Stegostoma tigrinum: one gene and its partners. The protein of the gene in region 1 interacts with the protein of each later gene in a pairwise test. Links are inferred from orthologs where the notes say so. Each region holds a gene or a part of one and is shown on either strand. Other genes may lie near its edges.

What was found.
Region 2: the proteins of insulin receptor-like (region 1) and shc1 interact in a two-hybrid assay, tested with the Homo sapiens proteins (2 studies listed by BioGRID and IntAct). The link is inferred for Stegostoma tigrinum from reciprocal best matches to the Homo sapiens genes INSR and SHC1.
Region 3: the proteins of insulin receptor-like (region 1) and mad2l1 interact in binary tests that used the Homo sapiens proteins (3 or more experiments, as listed by UniProt). The link is inferred for Stegostoma tigrinum from reciprocal best matches to the Homo sapiens genes INSR and MAD2L1.

What each region holds. Positions count from the first base shown.
Region 1 is NC_081383.1:6,991,506-6,999,436, forward strand, and holds the start of insulin receptor-like, read right to left. Parts: upstream 3,003-7,931; 5' UTR 1,832-3,002; coding exon 1,756-1,831; intron 1-1,755. UniProt on the Homo sapiens protein: Receptor tyrosine kinase which mediates the pleiotropic actions of insulin.
Region 2 is NC_081400.1:5,338,498-5,346,317, reverse strand, and holds the start of shc1 (SHC-transforming protein 1), read right to left. Parts: upstream 3,046-7,820; 5' UTR 2,137-3,045; coding exon 1,618-2,136; intron 1-1,617. UniProt on the Homo sapiens protein: Signaling adapter that couples activated growth factor receptors to signaling pathways. Participates in a signaling cascade initiated by activated KIT and KITLG/SCF.
Region 3 is NC_081354.1:68,625,643-68,633,140, forward strand, and holds the start of mad2l1 (mitotic spindle assembly checkpoint protein MAD2A), read right to left. Parts: upstream 3,056-7,498; 5' UTR 3,041-3,055; coding exon 2,962-3,040; intron 1-2,961. UniProt on the Homo sapiens protein: Component of the spindle-assembly checkpoint that prevents the onset of anaphase until all chromosomes are properly aligned at the metaphase plate.

The DNA of each region.
Region 1 (7,931 bases):
TCTGTAAACCACAATTAGTGATGTCTAGTGGCCGTGAAAAGTACAATATTAATACAACTCCCTTTCTCCAGGACGAAACACGTAGTATCCAGAACTCCAGTGAAACAGCTCGTACACCTGAATTCTCACAGCAAATGGAATTTCTAATACAAAAAAAAATTTCAGGGCAAGTGCCGGTCAAACCAAACACATAATTCACAATATTTTTGAAACAAAACAATGGGGTTGAGGTGGAGGGTAAACTAAATAAAGCAGCAGCATTTAAAAGCTGGATTTCAAAGGAGTATCAACAAAAGTGTTCAATAAAATCTATTTGACACATTTTGCAGTTGTGAAAGTGACTCTTATTTACTAGCCAGCTTGCCTTGAACAGCAAAGAATCATCTCCTGGATGACAATGTATTCTCACCCGCTGCGGTCAGATCTGACTGTAATCTATACTTCCACAGGTGAAAGATCTTCGCCCACAATAACACTGTCGCCACATGATAAAAAGAACTCTTTAAAATGCACATTTCTGTCTATAATATTGGGATAACTTTAAATTCTATATTACAGCATTCTCTAAAATAATGGGGCACACTTCATAAGTGATATTTTCTCCCATGCTAGATATTTTAAAAAGATGAAACATTAGTAAGGGGTGGCAATAAATCACATCACAATGTGTTTTTTTAAAAAGTAGGAATGAAAGTCTTTCTTAAAGTCACAGACACAACTTTCACTAGAACCCAGTTTACAAAAACATTTTAATGATCCAACTTTTGACACAAAGAGCCACCATATAACCATGAATCAGTGAAATTCAACTTTATATTACATGGAATCTCAGGCTGTGCCTAATGCTTGAGGAATGCTCTCTTATCCATTTTCAATGCACTGACCGAACAAGTCAAATCTCCTTTTTATTACATGGGATTTTCACTGGTATTCCAGGGATTCAAACAACTTTTGAAAAGTGGATCAGTGATCATGTCCAGATTCATACACTTAGCCAAGAAATCAACATAATCACTAACGTTAGAATGAAATTGCGAGATAAAAAAACTCACACAATGACAGAAAATTCTGGAAAAGAGGTATTTTAATACCTGCAGTGTTTTATAACAAATCAGTATTTTCAAGGTTCCGATATGGAAAGCTCAGAGTTTTCACAAATTAATCTCATACTCTTTCCAAATCAAACCATCACAATCTGTCAACCTGCATATTAATCCCAATGAGGAGCTTCAACATTAATGTCTTTTGAAACGCACACAGACAATTAAAATTGATGTTTTCTCTCCTTAAATAACCTGCATCTGTCCTGCCTTCTCACCAATGTGTTTACTCTGACTGTAACATTCAAAAAAGATCTTCAGTTACAAATCCAAGCAAAATTGGGAAATCGGTTTGAATGTCAGAATGGTAAAAGAACAACTTCACATTGGAAGAAATGAGGTTTTTGTTTTAAAACTGAACATTAAAGAAAACAGGGCCTGTCCAGGCTTCATCCCCGACTCTCGATTTTAGCTGCAGCTACATTCGTGTGAGGTGTCGCCCCTACCCTCTCTAATCCAAACCCAGGCTTTGGGATGCACATTAGGCCGTAAACTACAGCAATCTGGGAGAAGAGGTTGACAGGACTAAATTTTCACACAAATTAGCAGAATTTTAGAAGGAAAAATGCACCCGCGTCAGAATAAATTATCTGTAAACCTTAATGACTGTGAAATTACAAAGCTTGATTTAGTTTGAAGGTTTTTAAACACTTACCTTTTGGTTCTGTTGGGCCAATATTGGCCAGGATGAAGAGGGTCACCATGGCTGGTATCAAAGTCTTCCTCCCCATCCTGGAACTGGAATTCTCCTGGTGCAGATCAAAATCAAAACCCACGGTCCCCACAAGCACACAGGCCTTGGATATAACTGAATAAAAACCAAAATAAAACTCAGGGATGTACAGCAAGCCTAATAAAAGTTGTTTTTGGGACAGCACTTCGAACTGGCAGCTTTTTTCAAAAGAAAGTAATCTCTCAAAGAATAACAACTATTTTAGGGACCCCTCCAAATGAAATTTTCTTGAATCGTCTCTGAACAAATATTAAATAAAGTGATCTTGACAGTTAAATTGGAACAAATTCTTCATTCTGTCTATGAGGGTGGGGGAATAATCTGTATTTTTTCAACCCGTGTCCACAAAATCTTTTTTGGCGAGATTGTTGGGGAGAACAAGGAAATAAAAAAAAACTCCCCTCTCCTTTATTTTGTTTCTGGTGGATTAATTTTTCCACAGCAGCAGAAGAAATCTTCCTCAATTGTCTTCTGCAAAATAAAAGCTCTGGAAATCACATTGGAGTTGTAAAGCTTGTAGCTTCACTGCAAAGTCCCCAGTGCAAGAAAGCCCTCATTTCCTTCTCTTTTATATCATATTCAAACTCCTTTCATATATTTATATTTCCTTTTAACTCGATGATATCACGGGAAGATGAAACTGTCCGCTTTCTTCCCCCACATTACCAGTCCTGAGGAGAGAGAATTAAAAATAAAATCCCTTCAGGAAACAATCTGTCGAGAAAACGACAAACATAAACCAAAATATCCTCCAAGACAATTTTCCTTGAGCCGATATCAACTTGATTTTCTTTGGCTTTCTGCCTAGGCTTCCTCTTCTTTTTTTTCCTCTATTGCAAAGTCGCCCAAAGAAAACATCAAAGAGATCACTAATTCACCATTGGAACAAAACAAAAAAAATGTTTAATAAATTATCAGAACACCAGGCGCCAAACTGCATAACAAAATCCTTCAAGGTATTTTCCCCTTTTGGCTTCAACACACTCCAAACTGATTTTCTTTTTTTCCCAATTATTTTTTTCCTCTTTCTCTTGTGTTTCTTCTTTGTAAAATAAATTGAAATGTAATTGTTCTTTTTTTGAGGGAGGGGAACTGGTGGACAAGCAACAAAATAAAAATACGATTTTGAGGAGCAGAGGAGCCTTGAACCTTAAACCACGCGCAAACTTCTTCTGGCTGTGTCGAGTAAACAAGCACCGCCAGCCCAGTGAGGAGAGGGAGGGGAGAGCAAGTGAGCCTCGACAGTCACAAAAATCTGAACCAGGAGTTTACAGTTTCATGGACTGGACTGTTAAAAACGGAGAGAGACAGAGAGAGAGCGAGAGAGCGAGAGAGAAATCTAAAATCTGGACTGTGGATGCGAGAAGATAAAAAAGAAAACAGGTTTTACAAGACACATTGTTTCGGAGACATTGAAAATGTGAGCGGAGCCACCTCAGATTGGATTGGACTGAAGGCAAAAGAACAATTCAGAGACGAGATAATATTTATTCGAAAAGGGCATTCTGAAATTTTACACAATGTAAGGTAGCACGATAGCAATGTTTGATGAGTATGTGTACTTTTATTTAATCCTGCATTTCAGCAGATGCATTAATGTTCTTTAATTCCCTTCAATTTTCTCCTTATCAGACCTCCAATTCCTTCATAAATTTGGGCCCACTCAAAACTTTCTGATCTGTATCCCAACTCGCACCAAGTCCTGTTTACCCATCACCCCAGTGGGTAGCGGCCTACATTGGCATCAACTTTGAAAATAATTAGATTTAAAATTCTCATCCTTTTTTTCAAAGTCCTCTATCACGGTCCCCTCCCTTTTTGTATAATCCATTTCTGTAACGAGGAAAGAAACTAACTTGCTGTCCTTGCTATTCTGGCCTACATGTGACTCCACATCCATAATAATATGGTTGACTGTTTTCTGCACTCTGAAATGGCTAGCAAGCCAATCAATTTAAGGGTAACTGATCCTGCCATCAATGCCCACATCCCAAGAATGGATAGTATCGCCTAGCCCCATGACGATCTTTGAGATATCTGATTTTGGAATCCTGACCTCTTACAAACCCCTTTTTCTGTTGCTCCACTATTAGGAACTGTGCTCAGTTGTTCAGGTATGAAGCCCTGAGATTTCTTCCTAAATCTCACTGTACCTCTATCACTCTCTCACCCCGTCTTTTAGATGAAATTGTTTGCTCATCTCTTTCATGCAGTCTGAAGTGCAGCACTTTGAGGTGTATTCATATGTCAAAGGTATCATTATTACTGAACATTGTAGACAAATTAGTGAATTTTTTTTATTCATTCACAGGATTCATTCAACATTTATTGACCGTTCCCTAATTGCCCAGAGGGCAAATCACCATGGGTCTGGAGACACAAGTCAGCCAGAACATGTAATGGGTATGAATGAACCATATGGACTTTCCGCCCCTGATAATTAACAATGCTTTCGCGGAGTCTGAATTCCAGATATTTATTGAATTCAAATTCCATCATCTCCCATGGCAGGATTCAAACCCGGATCTGAAGAGCATTAGATATAATAGGAACTGCAGATGCTGGAGAATCCAAGATAACAAGGTGTAGAGCTGGATGAACACAGCAGGCCAAGTAGCATCTTAGGAGCAGGAAAGCTGATGATTCCGGCCTAAACCCATCCCTGCCTCTTTAACTTGTCTGTCTCCTCTCCACCTATCATCTCCTCTATCCATCTTCGATCTGTCTCCCCATCTCTCCCTATTTACTTCGGAACCCTCTTCCTCTCCCCCATTTCTGTTGAAGGGTCCAGGCCTGAAACGTCAGCTTTTCTGCTCCTAAGATGCTGCTTGGCTTGCTGTGATCATCCAGCTCCACACCTTGTTATCTCTGAAGAACATTACCTGGGTTTCTGGATTTACAGTTCAGCAGCAATACCTCTAGGCTATCATCGCCCCTATCAATTAAAAAAGGAATTAGCTAAAAAAAACTTGAATATTTATAAGCACCTTTCGTGACCTCCTTCACCTCAATACATTTTACAGCCAATTAAGTACCTTTTGGGGTATCCTCAGCTTTGTCACTGTAGCCAATTTAAACTTGTTAATTGATCATATGCTCGTATATTGTGCAATGTATTCTCAAACTGGACTTTTTAAATGTTTTGGTATCTGAAAAAATATTTATTCATTCTGTGCTAAATTTTCACTTTTGAATAACGATATATTTTTGGCATTTTGCGTATCAAGTGTCAGCATTGAGCTATCAGCCAGGAATACCATTTGTTAAATACTCCACTCCAACAAAGTGCCTATTGCCCCAGCTGAAAAGAGTTCCCCCTATTGGATCTGTGTGGTATTTTTCAGATTTTACACCAGCCGAAGTGCCTTGAGGAAGGGTCACCAGACCCAAACGTTAATTCTGGTTTCTCTTCACAGATGCTGCCAAACCTGCTGAGCTTTTCCAGCTTCTGCTTTTGTTTATGATTTACAGCGTCCGCTGTACTTTTGGTTTTTATTCAGTGTATTAAAAACTCTATTGTTTCTGTCCTAATTCGCACCAAGTCCCATTCACCCAAGACCCATGTGCTCACAGAACTACATTGGCTCCCAATCACAAAATAGCATAATTTTAGAATTCTCCTTCATGTTTGCCAATTCCTCCATGTTCTTACCTCTCCCTTTCTCTGTAATCTCCTCCAGCACAAAGACCCACTGAGATATCGCCATACATCAAATTTTTATCTTTCGTGGATTAACAATTTTAATCGTTTCACCATGCATTCAGCTGTTTTGACTTTGAACATTTGACTATCCTGCATAACCCACCTCAGCTCCTCTATCTTTCTCTCCCCCATCCTCCTTTAAATAAAATACTTAAACCTTACTTCTTTGACCAAGCTTTTTGTCCCTGTCCTAATAGCTCTTTGTATGGCTCAGGGTCAAATTTTGTTTCCATATGCATCGGTGAAGTAGCTTGAGATTTTTTACCACATAGAGGCACTATAAAAGTGGAAGGTTTTGTTGCTAAATTCCCTCCCAGCAGCATGGTCATGGTTTGAGCCACATGAACTGTAACAGCTCAAGATGACAGCCCATCAATACCTACTCAAGAGCCATTGGCAACACAATGGCTCAGTGGTTAGCACTACTGCCTCACACTGCGAGAGACCTGGATTCAATCTCAGCCTTGGGTGATCATCTGTGTGGAGTTTTCTCTGGGATCTTCCCACAGAACAAAGATGTGCAGTTAGGTAGATTGGCTATTGCAAAATTGCCCGTAGTTTTGGGATGTTTAGGTGAGACGGATTATCCATGGGGCAATGCAGGTTTACAGGGATAGGGTAGGGGGTGGGACTGCATGGATGCTGTTCAAAATACTGTTGTTGATTGGCCTGCTTCTATGATTTAAGAATAGGTAATAAATACTGGCCGTGCCAGGGATGTCCCTGATTCCATAAGCAAATTTTGGGTGGGAAGGTGGCAAAAATGTAAATGTTGTAGAAATTACAAACTAAGGCCATTGACCTGGATGACTAGACATGACAAGACAGACTGTTTCATTTTTACCCGCTGTGACCAAGCCACTGTGGGTTCCCTGTCGCACCCTCACTATCAACCTTCCCATAAATGTTACAAGCAAGGGTCTGAATAGAAGTTACTTCTTCAGTAAGGCAGCCACAGTCAGTAAAACTCAGTCTGATGATGAGAGTCTCCGAAACCATGGTAAAATGATGTGAAAAATACAATTATGAAATACAATCAGAGATAATGGGAACTGCAGATGCTGGAGATTCCAAGATAATAAAATGTGAGGCTGGATGAACACAGCAGGCCAAGCAGCATCTCAGGAACCTCCACAGCCTGCAACCCCAGAGGAGACAGCCACCCTGAGCCCTGCCGAATCTTCACCATCCCCCCAGACCTCCCACTGACTGAGGACGAACGGTCAGTCCTGAGCAAGGGGCTCACCTTTGTCCCCCTACAACCACACATCAACGAATACCAGTCACGGTCGGACACAGAGCAGTTTTTCCGCCGTCTTCGCCTGCATGCCTACTTCTTCAACCGGGAACCCAACCCTCCTTCCACTGACCCCTTCACCCGCTTCCAACACAAGTCCTCCTCCTGGACACCACCCCCAGGCCTCCTACCCTCCCTCGACCTCTTCATCTCCAACTGCCGTCGAGACATTAACCGCCTCAACCTCTCCACCCCTCTCACCCACTCAAAACCAGTCCAACCTGTCTCTGCCTCCCTAACCGGTTCTTCCTCTCACCCATCCCTTCCTCCCACCCCAAGCCGCACCCCCAGCTACCTACTAACCTCATCCCACCTCCTTGACCTGTCCGTCTTCCCTGGACTGACCTATCCCCTCCCTACCTCCCCACCCACACCTTCTCCACCTATCTTCTTTACTCTCCATCTTCGGTCCGCCTCCCCCTCTCTCCCTATTTATTCCAGTTCCCTCCCCCCATCCCCCTCTCTGATGAAGGGTCTAGGCCCGAAACGTCAGCTTTTGTGCTCCTGAGATGCTGCTTGGCCTGCTGTGTTCATCCAGCCTCACATTTTATTATATTATGAAATACAAACTTGCTGGAATTAGCTCATTAACATTCTGTAATTAGGTAGCACTTCTATGACAGGACATGACTGTAATATTTTGATTAATTTAAAGGCGCACATTTTTGCGGGAATTAATCTTTAATCATCTGGTAGCAAATGTTTCCAGGCTAAACATCATTTGACTCCCAATAAGGCAAATATGTGTACGCACCCTTCTTAGCGCCAAAATATTAAACAAGTGTTTTACTCTGCTTTTACAGACAGTGCTTAGACAGTGCTTCACCAGCACACACATGCATGCTCTGCAGCGTGCTTCAACTTGTTTCTTCTTCAAGCTAACCCAATGAATCCATGCTTAGTGGGCTGCAGAACTACAGAGAAAAAGAAGGTTGCAGGTTCTATACAAACCTTTTCAATCTTATCCAGTGTTTGCAGCAAGAGCTTTCCAATTATCTTAGCATTCCAAGCCAGCTGGAAAGAAGAAGGAAACAATCGGGCAATGATAACAAAGTGTGAAGCTGGATGAACACAGCAGGCCAAGCAGCATCTCAGGAG
Region 2 (7,820 bases), on another chromosome or scaffold:
CGGGGAGACAGCGAGAAAGTGACAGACTGCAGGGGAGAAAGAGTGTGACAGCGACAGTCTGCAGAGGAGACAGACAGCGACAGACTGCAGGGGAGACAGGCAGCGAGACAGCGACAGACTGCAGGGGAGACAGAGAGTGAGACAGCGACTGACTGCAGGGGAGACAGAGAGTGAGAGAGCGACAGGGGAGCGACTGCAGGGGAGACAGACAGCGAGGAAAGAAAGCTAGTGAGAGAAAGAGAGAGAGAGGCAGCAAGAGATAGAAGAAGACAAACAGGCTGAGACAACAGATCAGAGTGAGAGAGAGACAGACAGAATGAGAGAGAGAGTGACAGACAGAGTGAGAGAGAGAGAGACAGACAGAGTCAGAGAGAGAGAGAAATTATCGACATGGAGACAGAGGGCAAGGCAGACGCTCACATCCAGAGTGTGAACAGGAGACAGGATGCTAACTGTTCTGTGAAACAGTGCACTGCAGTCAGCAGGAATGTTTGTTCAGAGCTCATGCTTATTTAGGCAGAGAGTGAGTTGCCACAGACTGGCCAGAGTTTAGTGCAGGGGAAATGACTGGGGTGGAGAGAAACATTTACGGTCCGGGGGTTGGGACTGAAAGGGAGCAGGGAAGAAATGAGAGACGGTGGGGGAGGGAGGCATTAACAGGGTGTAGCTAAGAAGGGAGAACCAGCAGAAAGGGTGCAGCCAAGGGGGCAGTTGGGGGGCAATTGAGAGAGGGTGCAGCCAAGACGGCAGTGGGGGGGCTTTTGAGAAAGGGTGCAGAAGAGGAAGCTGTGGGGGCAAGTGAGAGAGGATGCAGACAAGGGGTCAGTGGAGGGAAATTGAGAGAGGGTGCAGCCGAGGGGGCAGTGGGGGGTAATTGAGAGGGGGTGCAGCCGAGGGGGCAGTGGGGGGTAATTGAGAGGGGGTGCAGCCGAGGGGTCAGTGGGGGTTAATTGAGAGAGGGTGCAGACGGGAGGTCAGTGGGGGACAATTGAGAGGGGTTGCAGCCGAGGGGGCAGCGGGGGGTAATTGAGAGGGGGTGCAGCCAAGGGGTCAGTGGGGGTTAATTGAGAGAGGGTGCAGACGGGAGGTCAGTGGGGGACAATTGAGAGGGGTTGCAGCCGAGGGGGCAGCGGGGTAATTGAGAGAGGGTGCAGCCGAGGGGGGCGGGTGTGTAATTGAGAGAGAGTGCAGCCGAAGGGGCAGTGGGGGGTAGTTGAGAGAGGGTGCAGCCGAGGGGGCGGGTGTGTAATTGAGAGAGAGTGCAGCCGCGGGGGCAGTGGGGGGTAATTGAGAGAGGGTGCAGACGGGAGGTCAATGGGGGGCAATTGAGAGGGTGTACAGACGAGGAGGCAGTCGGGGGAAATCGGGAGGGGGTGCCGACGACGAGGCAGTGCGGTGTAAGTGGGAGGGGGTGCAGACGAGGAGGCAGTGGGGGGAAATCGGGAAGGGGGTGCAGACGAGGAGGCAGTGGGGTGTTACGTGGGAGGGGGTGCAGGGGCAACTGAAGTACAGCAGGCAATGTAGGAGAAGCTGGAGGGGGGCAGTTGAGACGCTGCAGAGGGTTTGGGGAGGGAGGGAGGGAATGGTATTACACAGAAGAGTCTCAGAGGCACTCACCCGTATGAGGTAGGAGACGCCAGGCCCCATCACCTTGTCGTCTGGGTGAAGCCAGCCACGGCTGGGTTTGTTCACAAAGCTACCGTGCCGGGTCCACTCATCTCCTCCCAGCTGGCCGCCCTCCACCCGTGTCTTCTTACCTCCTCCTCCACCTCCTCCTCCTCCGCAGCCCAGCCTGTTCATGTCCTGCCGAGAGGGAGAGAAGATGGGCACAGCTCCTGAGTCACCAGGCCTCACGCTGCCCGGGGCTGGCACCGTCGTCGCTTCCCCGGGGAACCCCTTCGACTGCAGCAGGCTCGCCGGGTTCGCGAGTTTCAGGTTACCCATCCTCGGGAAGAAGGAGCACAGGGTGGTGGGGCTGTCCTCCGCCCCTGAGGACAGCTCCCCCCCATCATGGGGCAGTATAGGAGCCAGGGAGGAGGAGGAGGAGGAAGGAGGGACCAGCGCCTCCCCATGGACGGCCTCAGACGCGCTGTCGTTGTGTAAGTGACTGTATTTATTCCTATGCAGTAAATCCATGGCTGTACTCACCCAGGGAGGGCAAACCTTCTCTCATGCTCCGGCCTCCTCCTGGGTCTGAACCCAGCCCCCTTTCGGATCTGCTGTTAACTCCCCTACGAATAGAACCAGCCAGCTCGCAAACGGCTCAAACACACGACGGCCTGCGAGGGCTGGAGTACGCTTGCTTTCGCATGTGGTTGGGGCAATGGTGGGTGTCGGGGAAAGGAATATTTCTTGCAATATGTTTAAAATCTGTCGCTCGCTGCACACCTCCCCCCTCCCCTCCCGAGTCAGGTGAACTGATCGGTCCCTCTGGCTCAGATTAAAAGCAAAAACTTCTGCTGAATTCTCGAGGAGACTTGTACAGTCCAGAATGCAGACCCTCTGCACTGATCGAAACAGGGTTCATGGTCCGACAACACACACACACACACACACACACAAGAGATGACAGGCAACAGCGGTGTACAACCATGCAAGGGCCTGACAGCCACAGGGACAGGGCAGGGCTGACTCCTGGACTGTCTGTTGCCTCGGAGTTTCGTGGGCTCTGTCAATCCATGAGGAGACATCTCCATCAGCAGCAGGGCGAAAGAGGCCAGAGAGCTACAGCCCGGGTTCTCATGACTCCTGGACAGAAGCTGCTACAGGCTTCGAATGGGAGGGGAACTCAGCAGCACAGAGAGAGAGAGAGAGAGAGAGAGAGAGAGGTGGGTGGAGGAGACAGAAAAAAATGACAAGAAGCTACTCAGACAGCTTCTGCAAGTTTTATGAATGAAGGAGCGAAGGCAGCTTGAGTGGGCTTTTAGGAGCAGAGAGAGAGAGTGTGTGCATGTGTGGTCATGCGTTATTTCAGCAGTGTTCAGCTAATAGCCTTTGGGGACATTAACTCAATGAGAATAGACTCGCTGATTCATGCACAACAGTTGATGGTCTCCTGGTTCCTCGGAATTCACCATCACAGCCTCCTCCAGAAAGTTCTCCGGCCTGGCCTATTTTCCCTCTATTCTTTACATTCCATCGCAACACCATGCACAGCAAGGTTCACCGCCCCCTCCCCCCAGCGACACAGTCCACCCACCCCCCACCCCCTCAAACATTCCCAGGGACAGGGACGGCGCAGGGTCAGATACAGAGTAAAGCCTCATCTACACTGTTTCCCCCACATCAGACACTCCCAGGGACAGGGACAGCTTGGGGTTAGATACAGAGTAAAGCTCCCTCTACACTGTTTCCCCCTCGCCATCAAACACTCCCAGGGACAGCATGGGGTTAGATACAGAGTAAAGCTCCCTCTACACTGTACCCCCTCATTCAACACTGCCAGATCAGGGCCAGCACAGGGTCAAATACAGAGTAAAGCTCCCTCTACACCGTTTCCCCCCCTTCCTCCATCAAACACTGCCAGTCTTGAGTGAACGTTAAGATCCCGAGGGGCCTTGACAGGGAGGGCTTGTGGACAGGATGTTTCCTCTTGGGGAGGAATCCAGAACAAGGGGGGAATCACCGATTCAAAGTCAGGGCCGCTCTCTTCAAACAGGGAGTGGCTCATCACCAGGTTTTGAGTTTCAATGACTCTGTAACTCCATGACGGTGGGAGCCGAGAGTTTGAATATTTTTAAGACCGGGGTAGATATAGTCTTCTGAAGCGAGATGGGGGTGAGGGAAGCTGTCGGGGGAAGAGGCGAGAATCTGGAGTAACGAGATCAGCTAAAACGATTGTGAATGGCACAGTGGGGCTCGAGGAGATGGACTGACTGTTTAATCCTGCTCCTAATTCCTCTATTTGCATTCCCGAGCCCCTCAGGCTGTGTCGAAATTCCGAGCTTTTGTTTCAACGTCCAGTGCTGCCCACCCTGTTATAGGAAGGATATTGTTAAACTGGAGAGGGTTCAGAAAAGATACAACAGGATGTTGCCAGGAATGGAAGGCCTGAGGTATAAAAATAGCCTGGTTAGGTTGGGACCTTTCTTCACTGGAGGCTGAGCTTATAAGCCTTTTGGAGGTTTATAAAATCGTGAGGGGCACAGATAAGGTGAATAGCCAAGGTCTTTTCCCCGCCGAGGGTAGGGGAGTCCAAAGGCAGAGGAGATAACAGGGACTGCAGATGCTGGAGAATCCGAGATAACAAAGTGTGGGGCTGGAAGAACTCAGCAGGCCGCGCAGCATCTCAGGAGCAGGAAAGCTGACGTTTCGGGCCTAGAAGGGTCCAGGAAGGCTTCTAAGATGCTGCTCGACCTGCTGTGTTCTTCCAGCCCTACACATTGTTACCAAAGGCAGAGGAACATGGGTTTAAGGTGAGAGGGGCAAGATTTAAAATGGACACGAGGGGCAACCTTTTGTTTAAAACACAGAGAACGGTTCGTGTGTGGAATGAACGGCTGGGGAAGCGATGGAAGCAGACACTGGTACAATGTTTAAAAAGACATTTGAATAAGGACATGAATAGGGAAGGGATAGGGGGTCAGGAACAGGGGAAACGGCACAAGGACTATGATTATGGTCAGCAGCTGGGTACTTCAGGGTCAACCACATTGCTGTGGGTCTGGAAGAACTCAGCAGGTAGCGCAGCATCTCAGGAGCAGGAAAACTGATGTTTCGAGCCTAGAAGGGTCTAGGAAGGCTCCTAAGATGCTGCTTGGCCTGCTGTGTTCTTCCAGCCCTACAGTGTAGGCCAGACCAGGTAAGGACAGCAGTTTCCTTCCCTAAAGGGTGTTGGTGAACCACACGGGTTTTTCCCGACAATCGAAATTTGAACGTGGAAAGAACATACAAGGAGAAAGCAGACTGGACCAGTTACTTTTTCTCAGAAAGGCCGTCCTTTGGTCACAGCACAAGGCGAGGCCGTTCGTCCCGGCGTGACAATACTAGCTCCCTGCACCCCACCTTTAGCGCTGCCAATGTCCCTCCGCAGAAAGTGATCCAATTAATTTTTTTGGAACTGAACTGAGCAGGGAAATGTTTCAGCTGACTCTACTTACACTAGAACACAGTAACTAGCAGATCGTTCAGCCCGTTTATGGATGTTCTGCCATTCAACACAATCATGGCTGATCTCAACTTGGCCTTAACACCACTGCCCTGCACGCTCCCTGCAACCTGTTGCCAATAAATTGAGTTAAACAAGCTAATCTCCTCCTTCAACTTACTCAGCGTTCCAGCATTCACTGCTCTCTGCGTACCTGAGCCCCACAGATTTCCTTCGTCAGATGACGGTCCTCCTCATCTCTGTTTTAAAACTTATTCTAAACCCTTGGCCTCTCATTCAAGGCTGCCCCACAAGGAGAAACATCTGCTCCACATCTACTTTATCAACCTCCTTTCATGTCTGTTTCGCCTCAATTAGACCTCCTTTCATTCCTCTCAAAACCAGAGAGAATCCAACTAAACCGCTCAATTTCTCCTCAGTGGTTAGCACTGCTGCCTCATGGCAACAGGGACCCGGGTTCGAACACACCCTCCTGACTGTGCGGAGTTTGCACATTTTCCCCGTGTCTGTGTGGGTTTCCTCCGGGTGCTCTGGTTTCCTCCCACAGTCCAAAGATGTGCAGGTTAGGGTGGGATTGGCCGTGTTAAATTGTCCCGTAGTGCCCAGGGATGTGCGGGTTAGGGTGGATTGGCCGTGCTAAATTGTCCCGTAGTGCCCAGGGATGTGCGGGTTAGGGTGGCTTGGCCGTGGTAAATTGTCCCGTAGTGCCCAGGGATGTGCGGGTTAGGGTGGGATTGGCCGTGCTGAATTGTCCCATAGTGCCCAGGGATGTGTGGGTTAGGGTGGATTGGCCGTGCTAAATTGTCCCGTAGTGCCCAGAGATGTGCGGGTTAGGGTGGATTGGCCGTGCTAAATTGTCTCGTAGTGCCCAGGGATGTGCGGGTTAGGGTGGGTTGGCCGTGCTAAAATATGCAGGTTAGTGTGGACTTGCCATGGGGGACATGGGGATAAGGAGTTTGGTGGGGGGGGGGGGCGAGGGTTGTGTTGTAGAGGCTGGAGGAGGTGACAGAGATAGGGAGGGAGTGTAAGTGGCTGGAGGGGGTGACAGAGATAGGGAGGGGGTGTAGGGGGTTGGAGGGGGGCACAGAGATAGGGAGGGGGTGTAGGGGGCTGGAGGGGGTGACAAAGACTTCCCTGAGCCCCAGCAACATTGAGCTTCGGTGATTCAGTTCCTTTTGCAGCAGAGCTTACAGTAGCCCTTCCTGAACTGGAGCATGCCTCTCTCTCTCTTTCCGTCTCACTATCACACGCACACTGTCTTCTAGTCACGTTGCCTGTCACCTTTAAAGTCCTGTTCAGTGACACCCCACACTATTTTTAGTAACCAGTCAGAAACTTTGCCACATGTGTCACAGAATTGCAGCTGCTCAGCAATGCTACATGTCCTGCAGAACAGAAACACTCCGTTCGGTTGAACCAGTTTGTAATCGCAAACCAGAGATAATGGGAACCGCAGATGCTGGAGGATCCAAGATAACAAAGTATGGAGCTGGATGAACACAGCAGGCCAAGCAGCATCTCAGGAGCACCAAAGCTGACGTTTAGGGCCTAGACCCTTCATCAGAAAAAAGGATAACACCCTTACTGGCGTAACATTCACAAAAGAGGAGGAAAACAATAAGAAACTGCCATTCCTAGATGTCACAGTAGAGCGAACAGCCAATGGGGAACTTCAAACCAGCGTCTGCAGGAAAACAACACATCCGGACCAAATACTGAACTACAGGAGCAACCATCCCAACACCCACAAACGAAGCTGCATTAGAACATTATTCCAACGAGCCACCACACACTGCAGCACCGAGGAACTACGCAGAGCAGAGGAAAATCACCTGTACAGCGTATTCAAAAAGAATGGGTATCCTATGAACACAGTCCACCGATTTCTCAGCAACAAACCCAAACAAACAGACAAAACGGGCCCAGAAACCATAACCACACTCCCCTACAAAATACCTTGCAAGAACTGTGACAAACACTACATTGGACAAACAGGCAGTGAGTCTAATTAACTTAATTCACCCTCAAACTGTCTCGCTGTGAAAAAAAAAGATCTCAATCTCCTCAAGCCCCACTGAGCGAACCAAAACAAAAGCAGAATTCCCAGAGACAACATGATTCACGAACAGCACTCCGAAGGTGAGGAGCCACCAGAAAACTACAATCTACCTCTTACGGCATGTGGTCATAGCAGGTGAAATCGGCTGAGCGGCAGACGAGACTTTAGGAGGCAAGATAAAAGCAAAATGGGTGGTGGAGTGGAGAGTGAAGAAGGTTTACCTAAGATTACAGATTGGTCAGTCTGGGTGGGATGTCGTTCCCGCGGTTGGTGTGGACTCGTTGGGCCGAATGGCCTGCTTGCACATTGCAGGGATTCTATATCAATGTGTAAGTCAATGCATTAGAAGCAGTTCATAGAAGGTTTTCCAGATTAATTCCAGGAATGAGTCAGGAGCCTGATGAGGAAGGGCCATACAGCCTAGGCCTACCGGAGCATGGGGTATTTGAGGGGTGATCTTGCAGAGGTTTGTCAAATCAGGAGGGGACGTCGATAAGGTTCATAGCCTTGATCATTGGGTCAATGGGCTGAGGAGGTGGCAGATGGGGTTTAATTTGGGTAAATGCGAGGAGCTGCATTTTGGTGAAACTAACGTGGGCAGGACTTATACAGTTAATGGTATGGCCTTGAGGTCGTGCTGTAGAACAGAGAGAA
Region 3 (7,498 bases), on another chromosome or scaffold:
TTGAAAAGCAGATGCAATAAATTATTGTGAAGTACTGCGTCTATGCGCACAAATGCAGCAGTTTTTAGATAATGTTTTAAGAGGCAATAAAACAAAGGTCAGTTAATTGATCCGTGATGACAATTGTGGATGGAGGAATGAGTCAGAACAGGCTCCTCACACCTTTTCAATAAAGGATGTAGAATCTTTAATATTCACTTATAAAGATTTGAAGGAATACAGGCTCAGACATTTGATGGCCAGAGTTCTTGGAACAGAGTAAATTAGAGGACCACGTGGAATCCTCAATGCTTCTGACTATGAGAATTGCTCAGGAAACAAATTCTTTAGGGTAATTTGCACGTCCAGAGCCCTTTGAAGAACCCATTAAAAGAGGGGAAGTTGAAGAATCCCAACTTGCATGAGCTTTACAGATACTAAAGAAAAATGGGTTAAAAAATGTAAATGTAATTCCCACTTAACTACTGACCATCCCTAATTCCCCACTGCACCACTCCCTACATTACACTGCACACCACCAAACCCCAACCGTGTTGGGATGATATACATACTCTCACTGACCTGAATGTGAGATGTACCTTCCTTCTCCTCCTGATCTTTTACTTCTGGAAGTCACATCCTGCCCCTTCCTGAAATCTGAGTCACAAACCCAAGCTCCCACTGATGGGCCAGGTACCCCTCACTCTGCCTGATAGTCTAACTTCCAACACACTCAACCCCAGGCCTGATGTTCTCCACCCACCAGTCAGCCCCAAGACATCCCCCTATCAAGAATTAAACAACCCACAGACCCCAATTACCCTAAACACTCATTCACACACCAGGTACATGCATACTTACCTATTCACAGGAGCTGTCAGCAGTGCTTTGCCTTGCTGGACATTTAAATACCAGACCATGGCACACTGACTACGGCCACAGGGATTGGGGTTTTTAATGATTATTTTCCTCACTGCTGGATTCACAAATTTTTGGACAGGTTCATAACAGGAAGCCCCTATTGGGAATCTTGAGATTTCTTTACATAAAAGATAAAGCAAATAAATTTTAATACAATTGGGGATGGAAATAGAACTTCCAAACCCAATTAGCAGAGCAAAGCAACACAATAATGTATGCATGGAATTGTTATAATGCAACACTCTGCATGGGCGGCATGGTGGCTCAGTGGTTAGCATACAGTCTCACAGCGCCAGGGACCCGGGTTCGATTCCAGCTTTAGGCGACTGTCTGTGTGGAGTTTGCACATGCTGCCTGTGTCTGCGTGGGTTTCCTCTGGGTGCTCCAGTTTCCTCCCACAGTCCAAAGATGTGCAGGCTAGGTAGATTGGCCATAGTGTTCAGTGGTGAGAGAGTCTGGGGGAGATGCTGCAAGGGACGGTGTGGACTTGTTGGGCCGAAGGGCCCGTTTCCACACTGTAGGGAATCTGACCTAATCAATTTGGATCACAAGCCAAGCTTCATGCTTCAGTCCACAAATCTCCCAGCCTAAAAAATAAATGCATAACTGGATGAATAATCTGAAAAACAGAAAACAATTGAAGTTTAAACTGAACACCCTCAAAACATAACCCAATTTCTATGTTCATAATTTGGGCCACTGCTATATTTGAATATTTTAGCACAGTTTATTAAGCTGGCTGTAACAAATGACTAATCGTTAGCATTGCAACAGTTCTAAACAATGTCACAGTTAACATTCTGACAAATGATATTATTTGTAAAAAGCTTTCCTAATATTTCTGAGGACTTATTTGTATTTTATCCCACAAAGGCAGAATTAAAGTAATCATTTTATTTTCATTAAACGTCATAAAACAAAGAATTGCAGATGCTGGAGATCTGAAACTAAAACAGAAATTTACCAGAGAAGCTCAGTAGGTCTGACAGCATCTGTGGGAAGAAAGTAGAGCTAATGTTGAGTCCAGTGACTCCTCTTATAAAGAAGATGCTCTGATGAAGAAGCACTGGACTTGAAACATTAACTCTGCTTTCTTCCCACAGATGCTGATAGACCTGCTGTGCTTCTCCAGCAATTTCTGGAGAGGTTAGATTTCTCGGCTATTTCCTTGATCACCATTAACAATTTTCCCATTTCAAACTGTAATGAGCCTGCATTTGTCTTCACTTTTTTTCACCTTTTTACATGCTTATATAATCTTACTGCAAAATTTTCAGCATAGCTTATGGTTTTACTCATTTTATTTTTGCCCTCAAAATCAATCTCTAGGTCATCCTTTGGTGAATTCCAAATGGCTCCCATGTCTCAGATTTACTACATTTTCTAATAAGTTCACACAACTCTTTGGATTTAATACTATTCCTAATTTCCCTTACTGGCAACAGCTGAGCTTCCTTTGCCTGAGCATTGGAATACATTCATTTGTTTCTTTAATATTCGCTATTACCTAGTCACCATAATGCCTAGTAAGCAATCACAGTTAACTCAACACTAATATCTTTCTAGTTTCTGTTCTTTAGATTCCATACCTGGTTTCAGACTGGATTACTTCATTTCAAAACCTGATAAAGGAATTCACGTAATGGACACTTGTCTACAATTAAAAAGGTACCCATAAAATTATTATGGCTGTGAATGGCTCAAAACTATCTTTGACAGCACAAAGAGCTCACACAAAGAATAGGTTAACATCATTTGCGAGCGCAGAAAGCAGTAGCCATTTTTAAAGATGTGTAATAGACACAGTATATTTCCTGTAGTGCCAAGTTGATCTCACAGAAAAGCCAACCCACTATTTTTGACCAAAGTCTTGAATTTTCCCATATATTTTACTAAAATTTCACCTTAGTTATTCACAGATAATTTATATTTTAAGGCAATTGCTGGACGGTGTTCATTCTCATCTGTCAAGGAAACTGCCCAAAATGTACCCTTACTCCAACGATGGGGATGCAAGTTGCATTCAACATTTTATTTTTCAAACAGTAAAATGGTAGTGACCTGTAGCTGGAGATAAAGTGCTGCCATCCAGTTTCAGGTTTGGTGGGATTTTGTTTTCAACTCCAGGATACTGTTGCATTTTAATAGCAGGTTTTTTTTATTGGGTTTCATTTCTTTGTCAGAGTTTCAAAAGAATGAACTCAGTAATGGAGAGAGCTCGCATCCACTTATTGTTTCACCGAGGGTGACAGAAAGCTTTTGGACACTGGAGCAAAAAGGAGAAGATACAGGGTCATTTTGTGAAAGAATGATCAGGTTTTTATGTACGAGGAGAATAATCTGTTTGTTCTTATCTGCTGACCTTAAGAGTTTGAGAGAGAGCATTCGATGATGGTATGACAGATTATGGCTCTCACAGCCCTGATCATTTACAACAATGCTGGATCACAGAAGTATCGGCAACTACTGTAATTCGTGATCTTTTTTCCTTTATTTGTTGAGGGATCAATTGGGCTCCTGTTAATGATGTGGTACCCATGTAATAGTCGACCCCATAAATGTAACCTTAAGAAATAGTCTAAAAAACAGCATTTATATTTGTGTAAAAGACAAGACACAGAGGAGCAAAGTAGAGATAGCTGATAAATACTGGCACTGAATGAATAGTTCAGAAGTCAAGATAAAACACTTTTAGCCTGAAATGTAACACCGTGACCTATTCTGGGCTGGATTTGCTACCCTAGAGTATCATTTTTGCTATGCCTATGTTAATCTGTGTCAGATCGGGTATATTTTTAATACATTGACAGTACATCAATACAGGATTAACTATCTCACCCTGTGATTCTCATTTACAGTTAATTTTCAATCAACCTTTTCAATACCAGAAGAATAGCTTTTGCAGCAGTATCTTTAGAATGCTGCATACAATTCTTGTCACCCTCCTGTACAGAGGATGGTGTGAAACTTGAGGGGGTGTTGAAAAGATTAACAAAGATGTCATCTAGACTGGAGGGTTTGAGTTATACAGAAAGGACTGAATAGGCTGGGGCCTTTTTCCCCTGGCAGAGGCACTGAGAGGGTGACCTTATAGAGACTTATAAAGTCATGAGGAGCATGGATGGGGTGAATAGCCACTGTCTTTTTCCTACAGTGAGAGAGCCCAAAATTACAGGACACTGGTCTAAGATGAGAGAGGAAAGATTTAAAAAGAACCTGAGGGATGACTTCCCCACACCCCCTCCCCACACAGAGGGTGGTAAGTGTATGGAACAAATTCCCAGCTGATGTGGAACGGTTCTAACAATAAATGTCCAAAAACACTGACAGATCACTACTAAAGCTATATGAAACATAAGCCACATTCATAGCCAAAATTATCTACTTTTAGAAATAACTCTCTGTGCAAACAACTGCAGCATTTAAAAGGCATTTGGATTTAGTATATGACTATGAAAGGTTTAAAATGAATATGGACCAAATGCTGGCAAAATCAGTCTAGGTCAGATTGGGATGCCTGGTTGATGTGGACAAGTTGGACTGAAGAATGTGTTTCCATGCTGTATAACCATTAAATCTGTACAGCACAGCTGCATGACTGCATGAAAATAAAATCAATGCACACAGGACTTGGTTGTGACCAACTGACATTACACCTCCATCTATAAGACAGGGGAGGCTGCAGCTAGGTTAGCGTTCAGAGTACTCGATAGCAGTCAATCCTTTCTGATTGCACAAAATCAAATCTTGGACAGCCGCTGCTCAATATAACAAAGTGTGGAGCTGGATAAACACAGCAGGCCAAGCAGCATCTCAGGAGCACAAAAGCTGACGTTTCGGGCCTAGACCCTTCATCAGAGAGGGGGATGGGGAGGGGGTTCTGGAATAAATAGGGGAGGGGGGGGGAGAAGAGACGGACTGAAGATGGAGAGAAAAGAAGATAGGTGGAGAGGAGAGTATACGCGGGGAGGGGATAGGTCAGTCCAGGGAAGATGGACAGGTCAAGGAGGCGGGATGAGGTGGCAGGTAGGAAATGGAGGTGCGGCTTGAGGTGGGAGGAAGGGATGGGTGAGAGGAAGAACAGGTTAGGGAGGCAGGGATAAGCTGGGCTGGTTTTGGGATGCAGTGGGGGGAGGGGAGATTTTGAAGCTTGTGAAGTCCACATTGATACCATTGGGCTGCAGGGTGCCGAAGCGGAATATGAGTTGCTGTTCCCTGCAACCTTCGGGTGGCATCAATGTGGCACTGCAGGAGGCCCATGATGGACATGCTGTCTGAGGAATGGGAGGGGGAGTTAAAACGGTTCGCGACTGGGAGGTGCAGTTGTTTATTGCAACCGAGCAGAGGTGTTCTGCAAAGCGGTCCCCAAGCCTCCTCTTGGTTTCCCCAATGTAGAGGAAGCCACACCGGGTACAGTGGGTAGATACAGTATACCACATTGGCAGATGTGCGAGTGAACATCTGCTTAATATGGAAAGTCATCTTGGGGCCTGGGATGGGGGTGAGGGAGGTGGTATGGGGGCAAGTGTAGCACTTCCTGCGGTTGCAGGGGAAGGTGCCGGGTGTGGTGGGGTTGGAGGGCAGTGTGGAGCGAACAAGGGAGTCACGGAGAGAGTGGTCTCCCCAGAAGGCAGAGAAGGGTGGGGATGGAAAAATGTCTTGGGTGGTGGGGTCGGATTGTAGATGGCGGAAGTGTTGGAGGATGATGCATTGTATCCGGAGGTTGGTGGGGTGGTATGTGAGAATGAGGGGGTCCTCTTGGGGCGTATGTAGCAGGGGCGGGGTGTGAGGGATGTGTTGCGGGAAATGCGGGAGACGCAGTCAAGGGCATTCTCGATCACTGTGGGGGCGAAGTTGCGGTCCTTGAAGAACGTGGACATCTGGGATGTACGGGAGTGGAATGCCTCATCCTGGGAGCAGATGCAGCAGACGTGGAGGAATTGAGAATAGGGGATAAAATTTTTGCAGGAGGGTGAGTGAGAGGAGGTGTATTCGAGGTCGCTGTTGCAGTCGGTGGGCTTGAAACGGACATCAGTGTCTAGCTGGTTACCTGAGATGGAGACTGAGGTGTCCAGAAAGGTGAGGGATGTGTTGGAGATGGCCCAGGTGAACTTGAGGTTGGGGTGGAAGTTGTTGGTGAAGTGGATGAACTGTTCGAGCTCCTCTGGGGAGCATGAGGCGGCGCCGACATAGTCATCAATGTAACGGAGGAAGAGGTGGGGTTTGGGGCCCATGTAGGTGTGAAGAGGGACTGTTCCACGTAACCTACAAAGAGGCAGGCATAGCTTGGGCCCATGCGGGTACCCATGGCCAGCCCCTTTGTCTGTAGGAAGTGGGAAGAATCGAAAGAGAAGTTGTTGAGGGTGAGGACGAGTTCGGCTAGGCAGATGAGGGTCTTGCTGCAGGGGGACTGGTCGGGCCTGCGGGACAGGAAGAAGCGGAGGGCCTTGAGGCCATCTGCATGAGGAATACTGGTGTATAGGGACTGGACGTCCATGTTGAAAATGAGGTGTAGGGGGCCAGGGAACTGGAAGTTCTGGAGGTAGTGGAGGGCGTGGGTGGTGTCACAGACGTAGGTGGGGAGTTCCTGGACCAAAGGGAAGGAAACGGAGTCCAGATAGGTGGGGATGAGTTCGGTGGGGCAGGAACAGGTGGAAACAATAGGTCGACCAGGGCAGGCAGGTTTGTGGATTTTGGGAAGGAGATAGAAGCGGGTGATGCGGGGTTGGGGAACATTAAGGTTAGAGGCTGTGGGTGGGACGTCCCCTGAGGTGATGAGGTCATGGATGGTGTTGGAGATGATGGTTTGGCGATCACTGCTCAATATAGTTTGTCTTTTTAAAAATCCAGCACACGCTATAGAAATTCATTTGTCACAGGTGATGTGGCTTGCAGAGTCTATATATAGATTAAAGTTATCCATTATTGCTGGATTACTACAATTAGTGTTGTTTTACCTAATCATATTGTTTTATCACGTTATGGGTCCACCAAATCACTACTAAAATGTTTTAAGAAATACAAAGCACGTTCGTACTCAAAAACACCTACTTTTGTAAATAACCCTCTGTACATACAGCCTAGCATCAAAAGCTTCAACATTAAAACTTGCTTAACCTACATAACTGACTGCAGCTCTAAAGCAAACTATTGCTGGTAAATGCCTTGTGGCACCTCATTGCCGATATTTTGAGCACAAGCTTACCTACTTTGCTTCATGTCACACTTAATTTTGCTGAGAATGACCAAACTGGAAGTCGGGGTGTGGGGAGGAGACAGTTACATTTACAGCAACTGTGGACAAGCTTAAGGGCAAATTTCATTCCACTTAGAAGCATTCTCTGACACTTCCGCCATGTACAATCCGACACCAGAGTCATTTTTCCATCCCCACCCTTGTCTGCCTTCCACAAAGACCACTCTCTCCAGGACTCCCTTGTCCGCTCCACACTCCCCTCCAACCCCACCACACCTGGCGCACTTCCCCCTGCAACTGAAGCAAGTGCTACACTTGGCCCCACACCTCCTCCCTCGCCCCCATTCCAGGCCCCAAGATGACTTTGCACATCAAGCAGATGTTCACCTGCACATCTGCCAA